Linked DNA regions of Arabidopsis thaliana. The protein of the gene in region 2 interacts with the protein of the main gene of each other region in a pairwise test. Each region holds a gene or a part of one and is shown on either strand. Other genes may lie near its edges.

Region 1 (6,685 bases), on a different chromosome or scaffold from region 2:
TTAGTACACTACTAGTTTCTGTTAGCTCTCTCTTATCCCATTCAACCAACGGTCCAATTTTCTAACAAAGGCAAAATAAAAGGGCAATGATGTGTGTTCTTAACCTGATCTTTTGTTCTAGCTTAGTTCATATTGCATATTGCAAGCTGTTTTCTTATATTCATACTATAATAGACTATTTTCACAATGTATATAACAAACATGAATTTTACTCCAGCCATTACATCTATTGATCATCACATACTCTTGTTTAGAGACTAACGGTTGAGACAAAGCCAGATTTGAACTGAGTTTGCTCTGCAGTCCTATAAGGTACTACCAGAACTAAATCATAACCTTTAAATCTTTATAATTCCATATTTCAAATGTAACAGTCATGAAAAAACTCTAGTTTGATCGAGCAAAAAGCCAAGTAAGTTCGAAAGCTTTAACTATCGTTCAATCTACTTCGACATAAATCCGGCTCTGTATCATGTAGGTATGAAGATACAAGTAGTGGAAATTTCAAAAGCAAAAGGTTCAGATAGAAGAAAAGTAAAACTTGTTTCATTATAGACAAAGTCAAGAGAACAAATACGCTTAAAGAGAGTTATGTTAACTAACATTTTTAGCTAACAGCCTAACATAGAAAGGTAAAACTCAGACAGGGAAAGCTCTAAAGAAGAAACCTGAAACTGGTTCTCTTAGCAACAGCATCTATGAGATCCATTCATCATAAGAAATCTGTTCACATTCGAATATCAGTCTTCTCGGGCTTTCCCTGCAATATCTAAAGATGAAAAAGAAAAAGACAATCCGAAACAGAGACATTGTATTCCATTTACATGGGGAAACTACTGTTGCGACATCTGATTTTACTACTACAAGCACCCCAGGTTAGGTGTAGCAGAGAATGCAGAACAGTTACACGATATCCATGTCCTAAGGCACAACAGGAATTTAGAGGCATAAAGAATGATAATATATGTGGGTGTAAACCTCTTTTTTTCAATGGTACAGTTTTAGGAGAAAGAAGACTCTCTCCATCATTTCTCTTCATTGGTGGTATTCTGTGACTAAGTGCATATAGATGATGAAGAAATAAGAATGTAACTTAAATGTAGTCAAGAAAAAGACCTAAAATTCGGTCTAAGGGATCTAACTCCGCATCTTTTTCCTCTGACTACCCTCTTCCATATCACCCTGAAAAAGCCATGATCGGGAAATCAAGAGGTCGTCACTGGATAAATGTCTAGCAGCGAAAATGAAAATGGATTCAACTAGACACAAATGAAGCTAATGAAAATGCATGGAATGGCTTACCCCATTGGACTCTGGCCTGCACTTTGCATGCACTATAGGACCTAACTGAGACTTGTCCATATCTGTTGTTGATTCTTCAGGAGCATTCATGTATACCGCACCTTTGTACATCCATTCCTCGGTTTCATCACTATAAAAGTCTTCAAATGGCTCACCACATAATGCACATGAAGTTTGGTCTTCATCTGCAGGAACTGCCATATCTTCGTCATCCTTCTTTTCTGTTGTTGGCTCCGTGGGCAAGAACCCTGGTACTGCTTCAGCTCCAAGTGCTTCTGCACCACTGAGCCACATGCTAGCACTTACAAACCATTTCCGAGAAGGGTTCTGCTTATGGTTCTTGGACATCCTGTTCTTGGTTACATGCCAATCCATGTGCTTACTGTGCTCTTCTTGGCACTTGAAGCGTAGACCACAGGTTGTGCATTGCCTCGGGAGATCCCCATATAAAGCACTGATTGCAGACTCATTACGTATCTTGAGCATGTCTGCATCAAACTCCAACCCCAATGGTCCCTGAATATATAAACCAACAATTCAAGATAAAGCAATAACTAAGAACAAACCGACTCTCAAGGACATGATTTGAATAATTACCTGACCAGCAGGCTGATTGTTCAATGAGATCAAACCTTGAGCCATGAGAGAGCCAATCAGACCAGAGAATGCGCCACCTGGTGGTTGATTAGAGGCTCCTATCTGAGATAAAACTCCTGAAGAAAGAGGATGCATGGCTTCCCCACCTTGGATTGATAAAGATGGTCTAATGGTTGACCCATGTGGAGGGTACCCATGACTTACGTGGGTTAACAACGATTGCATTGGCCTTGGAGCCATAGCAGATGAGGATGGCAAATAATTAACTAGCATCTGATTCTGTTGAGTCATATCATTAAGATGACTCTGAGAGACCTGGTTTTCGGGCCTATATAAAGGCTTACCTTGCAAGCGATTTGACATCGCATTACCGGGATTTGCCAAATGATGCAAATGAGCAGAAGGTACAGGGAGAGAGTTGGGTCCTCTAGCACTCAAATGGGGCCATGTCCCATCAGGAAGAGCCCGGCCAAAACGTGAGTTAACATCTTGAATGCTATCAAATGGAGGAGCCCCGAATTCACTGTTTGATGAAACTAACCCTACAGATGAAGCCAATACTTTCAAGTCTTTTCCTGCTCTTGTATCAACACGGTTGGATGTATGTGGATAATTTTGTGACAAACTCCAATTTTCTCGTAGCTGATGACTTACACCATTCTTAATGTCAGAATCTAAATGAAAATCACTTGTGTTTCCTACTCTGGGTCTTGCCCTTACACTTCCTAATGCTGGTACAGATGATCGCAAAAATTCACCAGCTCTGCTACGATCTAGGGTAGGGCTCATATCTTCCCAATCAAACTCTTCTTCCTCAGTGTTCTGCCATGGTGTAACCATCTTACTGTGCATGCCATTCATATCGCGAATTGGTTTATTGATCGTTACGTGTTTGCTGGTGTCAACTCCATATGCATCTATCAACGCTCTAGGTCTTTCGTGATCATTTCCTTGGCCTAAGTTTTCCTTTCTTCGCCATTCCATATGTTCATCATCTCTGCTAGTAGCTCGACCCATTCCATAGTTAAAAGCTTGATTAGAAGGATTAGCTCCATCATTAGACCTCCTGGTAAAACCATCTGGTGTACTAGACAGTGAAGATGGGCTCTCTAACTGATCTTCGAAATCATTATACCCACCGAGTGAATTTTGGCCATAAACTCTTGCACTGGAATTAATTCCTCTCAAATTCTGCATGTCAAGCAAGAGCAATTAAGGAAATATGCATCTCAGGTATAGTCACTCTTTGAAAAAAAACATATAAAAACAGTTCCAAACGACACATGATGCATAAACAGTGATCTACTGTACTATAACCAAAAAAAAACCCTCTACATGTGCTAACAAGATCATTTCTAATGTACCAGAGTCCCAGTGACCTACTCATCATGTATAACTGAGAGAGGCCATAACAACAACTCCCTTCCAGTCAAGATTGATTACTTGAAGAATGTAAACATCTATCTCGTCTAACTAACAAAACTTTAAAGAAATACAATGGATAAGACCACTATGAGGCCAAACTAATCTAATACCCGTTTTACTTAGTACACTTATATAAAATTAACACACCATAGCTTCAAGGTTGCAGATGCACCTAAAAAAAGAATGTCATCTCTGTTCATAATGACAAAGAGAAAGGCTTACATTTTCGGCGGCTGAGGGCTCCAGCCTGCGAAGATATTTTGGATTAACATGTATACCTCTCGTTGGTTGACTAGGCTCAGAAGCCCCTACGGAAGATTGGTTTGCTGCAGATGAAAGTTGCAATTGCATATCAATCTTGCGTAGTACAGGTGGTGGAAAAACACTCGACCAAGTCCCAAACAGGTGACGCATTGACGGATGTAAACTCGGATGTGCTTGCCTATATGCAAGGCAGAAGACCTAAAGCAGAATAGGATCAAAACAGCTCATGGGTATGCTTCAGCCCTATTCAAATCATTTAAGTAAACATCTTCTTGTAGACTGCTCACCTCGGGTAGACGGGATGAGAAATAGCGACCATAATCCCGCCCAATGTTCTTAACAATGCTGTCTAAAAGATACAGAGATGGCAACTTTTGCTCAACAGGAGCCTGCATATATACACCCACAGGTAACTCAGAAGCAGCCATTTCACTAAACCACAAACCAAACACTAATCTCTGACAATCAAAAACCTAATTTTTTTCCCACTTCTACACTTACATACTATACAATAAGGCTAGAAAGTGGAAACAAATAAGAAGAAAGCAAACCTCAAGGATTCGAGTGCAAATAGCATTAGCGATTCCTTCACCATGTTCCCGTTGTTCACCAGCGATAATAGTGAGATCAGTGATAATAGGCTTAGAATTGAAAGTAAGCTCACCCAAAACAACCTCATAAAGCTGAACAATCTCATCCATACTCGGAGGCAAAACCTCTTCACCACCACCGAACTCATCTTCACGCTGATTAAGCAAAGCTTTAAACCGGTCTAACAACGACGGCGGTGGCGGCGGTTTCTGCGGCAACTCAACGGACATACCTTTGCGGCTGGTGCTATTAATCGAAACAAGTCTTGGATTGAGGATTTTCTCTGAGTCCATCCCCAATTCAATAGTGAAGAGTGATAATTAGTGGCAGCATAAAGGCTCTAGGGTTTCTGTTCCACCATGGAAACTCCTCGAATCGCCACCCTTGTGGGGGAAGAGAGAGATAGAGATCGATAACGGAAGTTTTTTTTTTTTTAGTGAAGAGGATTTTTTTTTCTTCTCAATTTTGTATCTCTACTTTATGCAAATCTCATTTTTGTCCCTTTTTTTTTAGAGTTATCAACTACATCCCAATTATTGTTTTTACCCGTTTTGAGTCACACAGATTTTTGACTTTTACTATGACCTCATCAATTAATCACGTTGCAATTCTCTTCTTTCCCTTATTTGAAAAGTTTGATCTTGCCTCTTGGTGACACTAAATTTAGTTTTGAGGAACTATTTCATTTCTTAGCTTATTTATCTATCTTGATAAAGTTTGAATCTATCTTGTTTTGATTCTACTCATGGACTATGAATGATTTTTTTTTTGGTAGACAATTAGATTTTATATTATTTTTGATTTTTGACAGAAATACAGAGATTAGCAAGAAGCGGATTAAAACAATCTACAAAAATAAATACAACATTACAACTCTAATTCATTCAGTTCGCTTTTATGCGTTCAAGGCTAAGTTACGAGTTGAAACACCGATTTTGAACTCGTGAAACTCGGAAATTTGTGTGGTTGTCACATGACCGAAAAAGTGGAATTCTCATGGTAGTTGCCACGAGCATATCTTCGAGAACTTGATTCAAATTGATACAGTTAAAAACACCACCATCAAACCACGTCCTTGTTACGTTTCTTTAAGTTATATTAAAAAAATGTTGGATTAGTTGTATAAAATCCTATAAGGGTTTGAGTTTATTATTACATAATTATAATTATATAGCTTCCTATTTTATAAGTTTAAATTTAATATTTGTTAGTTCCTTTGTTTTTACATTTTAAAATATAAAGTAATTGCTATTTTCAAAAATGTTAATTAATTAGATGCTAAATATGTTAATTATTGATGTGGCAGCTCCCGATTGGTTGTTTTCAAAAATGTTAATTAATTAGATACTAAATATGTTAATTATTTATGTGGCAACTCCCGATTAGTCGTTCTAAATCCTAGGTTATGAATCCACGCTACGCATGGGTCTATTTGTAAAACTTTTTAATATTTTTTTGTGTGAATAAAATTATTATAGAAATTTTTTAAAAGATATGTTTTTATATGTCTACTTGTTGTTAATATTATAAACTCTTTGAATTTTAAAATTACCATGACAATAGTTACAATTTAAATACAAAACTAAAAATAACTTTAATACAACTTTTAGGTTTACAACATTTATCAAAAGAACATTTTTTTGGCTCATGACTCTCTCTTTAGCTTTAGATATTTAGGATCACGACGTCTTTTTATGTATGAAATAAATTGTTTTATGGAAAATAACTTCGACGACTTTCTCATTTTGAAATCCGTAAATTTACTATTCTTTTTTGTTTATCTTCGCTGCATTAGTTAGTATAGCTCGTCTAAAAATAAGATATTATATAGAAGTATATTCATAAGCTTATCTATACTTTACTTTAACAACTCATATTTTCTCACATTCTTTTCAATATGTATATGAATTTCTGTCTTCACAATTTTTTTACAAAGAGCTATCACTCTCCCTATCTTTTTGCAAGCACTCGTTTTATTTGTTTCATTTTTTCTTACAGTGTCTCTTTCCATCCTCTTATGATTTTGTTTAAGCAATATGTGTCATACCTTCTAAACTTTTCACATGTTCCATATTTTTTCTTCGAAAATCTCTTTCTTCTCTAGTTAGTACTAGGGCGAAACCCGAACCAAATCGCGGGCTTTTTTTATTAAAAAATGTAATTTTGTTAAGTTGTATGTAGGTATTGAATGTTATTTGTCATGATTCATGATATATGTAGAACAAAAGAATTCATTAGAAAGTGATTAAGAGCTCAATGCATTTGTTAATTTTTTAAAGTAAGATCTATATAGCTTTTATAAGTTTTGGAAGCTAATTTTTTTGTATTACGAACATCTTTTTAGAAGAGTCATTAAAAAACAAAAGTGAAAAGAGTTAAAAATCACCAGGTGCTGATTCTGGTGAGGTTAAAGTCATTGAAGATTCTTAAGAATATGTTATATGGAGTTATCATATTTGATTTTGATGTTCCATATGCATATTTGATTCATACGTTGAAGAAGTAT
Region 2 (3,669 bases):
TTATTTCTCCTCCAACTGGCTCTGCAAAATTGAACATAAAATTTTTGAACAAGCCAAACTTTACAGTGTTCACTACTCGAGTGAGGGAAAACATTAACAATGTGGTTAAAGAATCCTCCAAATTATAAGGTTCACATACCAAACTTTTCAACAACATCCTTTGTAATGTAGTTAGATAAGTGCCTCCACTCCCCATATTGCTTTAAATTGTATGGGCCAAGATTTTTGTCAAACTCTAAAGACCTGACTGCTTGAGAATATCTCTCTTCCTAGCAACAAAAGAGCAGAATAAATATAAATAAGCCAGCACTAATTCTCAAGCCTACTAACTAATGGCTCATGCAACATGATTTGATTATATTCCTATCTAGCAGGCATTGAACAAATATCACAAAGAGGCAAATCGCTGACCAACATATACGCAACATTGAGAAAATTACTGCACTAGGTTATTAAAAGGACATACCTCTTCTTCAGACACTTTGGTTAACCACTCGTCTTGCTGATTCCATTTGCGTACAATAACCTTGTATATTCAACAAAAGATAGTAAATATATATCTACTTACAATATATACAGTTTCATGGTGCTACTAACAGGATATCACAGAGAGACAAGAACATTACTAAATGTTTTCTCTGTAATAGCGATCTATATAGATAACTACAAACACAAACTATTCAAAGTTGTGATTCCAAACCTGAGAAGGGGCAACATCAACAAAGAAGCCAATGGTGGGTGAAAACTCTCTACCATCCCTGAAGATAAGAAAATGAAAGTCTGCATTATCAGCCAAAGCATATCGATAACCATGGTACGGTTTTTAATGAGTACGACATCACAAATTTAAAAAACCATTTAAAGACTTAAACCTTGTCGATGAACTATAGAATACAAAGTGAATTCCAGGAGGTATCATCTTAATCCCTTTGAAAGCTGGTCCAACTGCGAATATCTGTAACCACAATACAAAACATTGTCGTTATAGGCCAATGAATATGCTCAAGAAATATGTTTCACAATCATACAGAAATCAAAATCCATAGCCAATAAAGAATCTTCAAAAGCTCAAAAACCTCAAATTTTAATCATATTCAAACTCAAAATACACTTTCTTCTCGAGATATTTACTAAACCAAAAAGAAACTATACAAGGAGAATCAGTTCCACATTAAAAAGCTTTAAACTTGGAATAAAGTAACAAACTTTGAAACTGAGAAAAGTTGAAATTCGATAAAAGCTTTAAACTTAGAAGTAGACAAACCTGAGTATCGATTCCGACCAGTGTATATTGAGGAACATCGAGAAATAGAAGTGTAGCTCCATGCTTCACAAGCTCTAGTGCCTTCTCAGAATCCATAGCTTCCTTCTTCTTCGTCTTCACTAATTTAGCGTCGAATTCAATAAAGAACAGCAAAATACAGAGCGGAACAACGAGTAGATTCCAGAAGGCCCAATTTAACAGGCCCATTAACAAACTGGGCCTATAAACCGTGGCCCAAAACACGTGACAACGCGCGATTCACGCGGTTTACTTTATCAACCGACATAAACGTTTATTTATAGAGAAACCTATCTTCGCGTCTCTTCAGATTCGTTTTATTTTTCAATCGTTTCAATTTCTAAAATTCTCCTCTCTCAACGCAATCACCAAATCCAAATTTAGGGTTTCTTTTCTCTTTCTGCGATCGATCTCTGAAAACTCATAACTGTTGTTTAATCGTGAAGATGGCATCAAACGGATCTTTCTCTGCTCAGAGAAACGCAAACGCTAGAACAACGATGAAGAGAAGAAGCGACAATCGCGGTTACGGTGGCGGAATCGGAGGTTATCAAGAGGAGACGAACCGTTACGCGCCGCCGCAAAAACGTTTCAGATCACAAGCGCAACAGCAATTCCGATCTGGTCATAATCCTCTGTATCATCATCATGGTAGTAATAATAATAACGTGTCTAGGGTTTCTTCTCAATCATATAACAATTGCGGTGTTGATGTGATTGCTTCTAATTCAAGTTTTGCATTACGTAACAATGATTCTAACACCAACAATTATCAGAAACCCTTTGTTGCTGGTTATGGAAACCCTAATCCCCAAATTGTTCCTCTTCCATTACCTTATCGTAAGCTTGATGACAATCTCTCTTTAGATTCGTTACCTGATTGGGTTCCGAATTCAAGAACCCTAACTCCGAATTATCCTGTTAGGTCATCGAATTTTGTACCAAACACTCCTGTTTTTACGAATGTTCAAAATCCGATGAATCATTCGAACATGGTTTCAGTTGTGTCTCAATCTATGCATCAACCAATTGTTTTGAGCAAAGAATTGACTGATTTGCTTAGTCTTCTTAACAATGAGAAAGAGAAGAAAACTTTAGAAGCAAGTAATAGTGATTCTTTGCCTGTTGGATTAAGCTTTGATAATCCATCGTCACTTAATGTTCGACATGAATCTGTGATTAAGTCTCTGTATTCTGATATGCCGAGACAATGTTCATCGTGTGGGTTGAGATTCAAGTGTCAAGAAGAGCATAGTAAACACATGGATTGGCATGTAAGGAAGAACAGGTCGGTGAAAACCACTACAAGACTGGGTCAGCAACCGAAGAAATCGAGGGGATGGTTAGCAAGTGCATCTTTATGGCTTTGTGCAGCGACGGGAGGAGAGACGGTAGAAGTAGCATCTTTTGGAGGAGAAATGCAGAAGAAGAAAGGAAAGGACGAAGAACCAAAACAACTCATGGTGCCTGCGGATGAAGATCAGAAGAATTGCGCATTATGCGTAGAGCCGTTTGAAGAGTTCTTTAGCCATGAAGATGATGATTGGATGTATAAAGATGCAGTCTACTTAACCAAGAATGGTCGTATAGTTCATGTTAAGTGTATGCCTGAACCCCGACCTGCTAAGGATTTGAGAGAGCCTTCGAGGGTAATGTCTGTTACAGTTCCATCGGTTGCGAAAGCTATAGCCTGCTGATTGAGATTTTTAAGATCTCTGTTTTAGTCATTCGTTTTTTTAAGTAATGTACTTTACTTGAACAAGTTGTAACACAAATACAGTTCTATCAATTGAATCTCCTATTTTACTCTTATCGCCTCTTTACTCTTATGTGTCATTTAATGAATATTCATGCTTCTATATCTCTGTTTTAATCGTCGTTTAGTGTTGAAAAATCATCAAAAAAGTTGTAACTATATTAATCAGAAAAGATTAACGAAATGCTTTAGTTTACACTTAATAACAGAGACAAACGTGAAGCTCGTCTTCTTTTGATTCTCCTTAGGGTTTCTTACTTCGAGAAGAAGACAGAGTAATTCTCACAAACTTGTTTTGCTAATAAACGTTATAAAGCTTTTCAAAATCCTTTTTCAACCCTAATAGTTGATGAGAAATCGAAAAACAAACGAAGAACAATGATAATTCTGTTATTTCACATAAAGTCTCAAATGACAAATACAATGAAACACTCTATTTAAAGTAGAGTGTTTCGGTTTAACCAGGGAAATCACACTTGATTACCTGTTTACATAAACCAGACTCTCTATACCACTAAACCGAAATAAGGAAACCTTGAAACCTAATCGTCCCATGAATGTGCAATTAGCTTTTTCCCTAATTCCTTTGTGTATCTATATATATGTATGGACATTATCATTCTAATGAGAT

Evidence for each region.
Region 1: the proteins of AT1G66500 (region 2) and PCFS4 interact in a two-hybrid assay, tested with the Arabidopsis thaliana proteins (one study listed by BioGRID).

Annotation. Positions count from the first base shown.
Region 1 is NC_003075.7:2,469,870-2,476,554, reverse strand, and holds PCFS4 (PCF11P-similar protein 4), read right to left. Parts: upstream 4,690-6,685; 5' UTR 4,473-4,689; coding exon 4,140-4,472; intron 3,978-4,139; coding exon 3,876-3,977; intron 3,787-3,875; coding exon 3,547-3,786; intron 3,091-3,546; coding exon 1,900-3,090; intron 1,819-1,899; coding exon 1,303-1,818; intron 1,183-1,302; coding exon 1,138-1,182; 3' UTR 530-1,137; downstream 1-529.
Region 2 is NC_003070.9:24,810,572-24,814,240, reverse strand, and holds AT1G66500 (Pre-mRNA cleavage complex II), read left to right. Parts: upstream 1-1,579; 5' UTR 1,580-1,728; coding exon 1,729-2,979; 3' UTR 2,980-3,161; downstream 3,162-3,669. Other genes in the region: AT1G66510 (AAR2 protein family), read right to left, coding at 1-21, 140-269, 467-526, 701-758, 873-955, 1,265-1,360.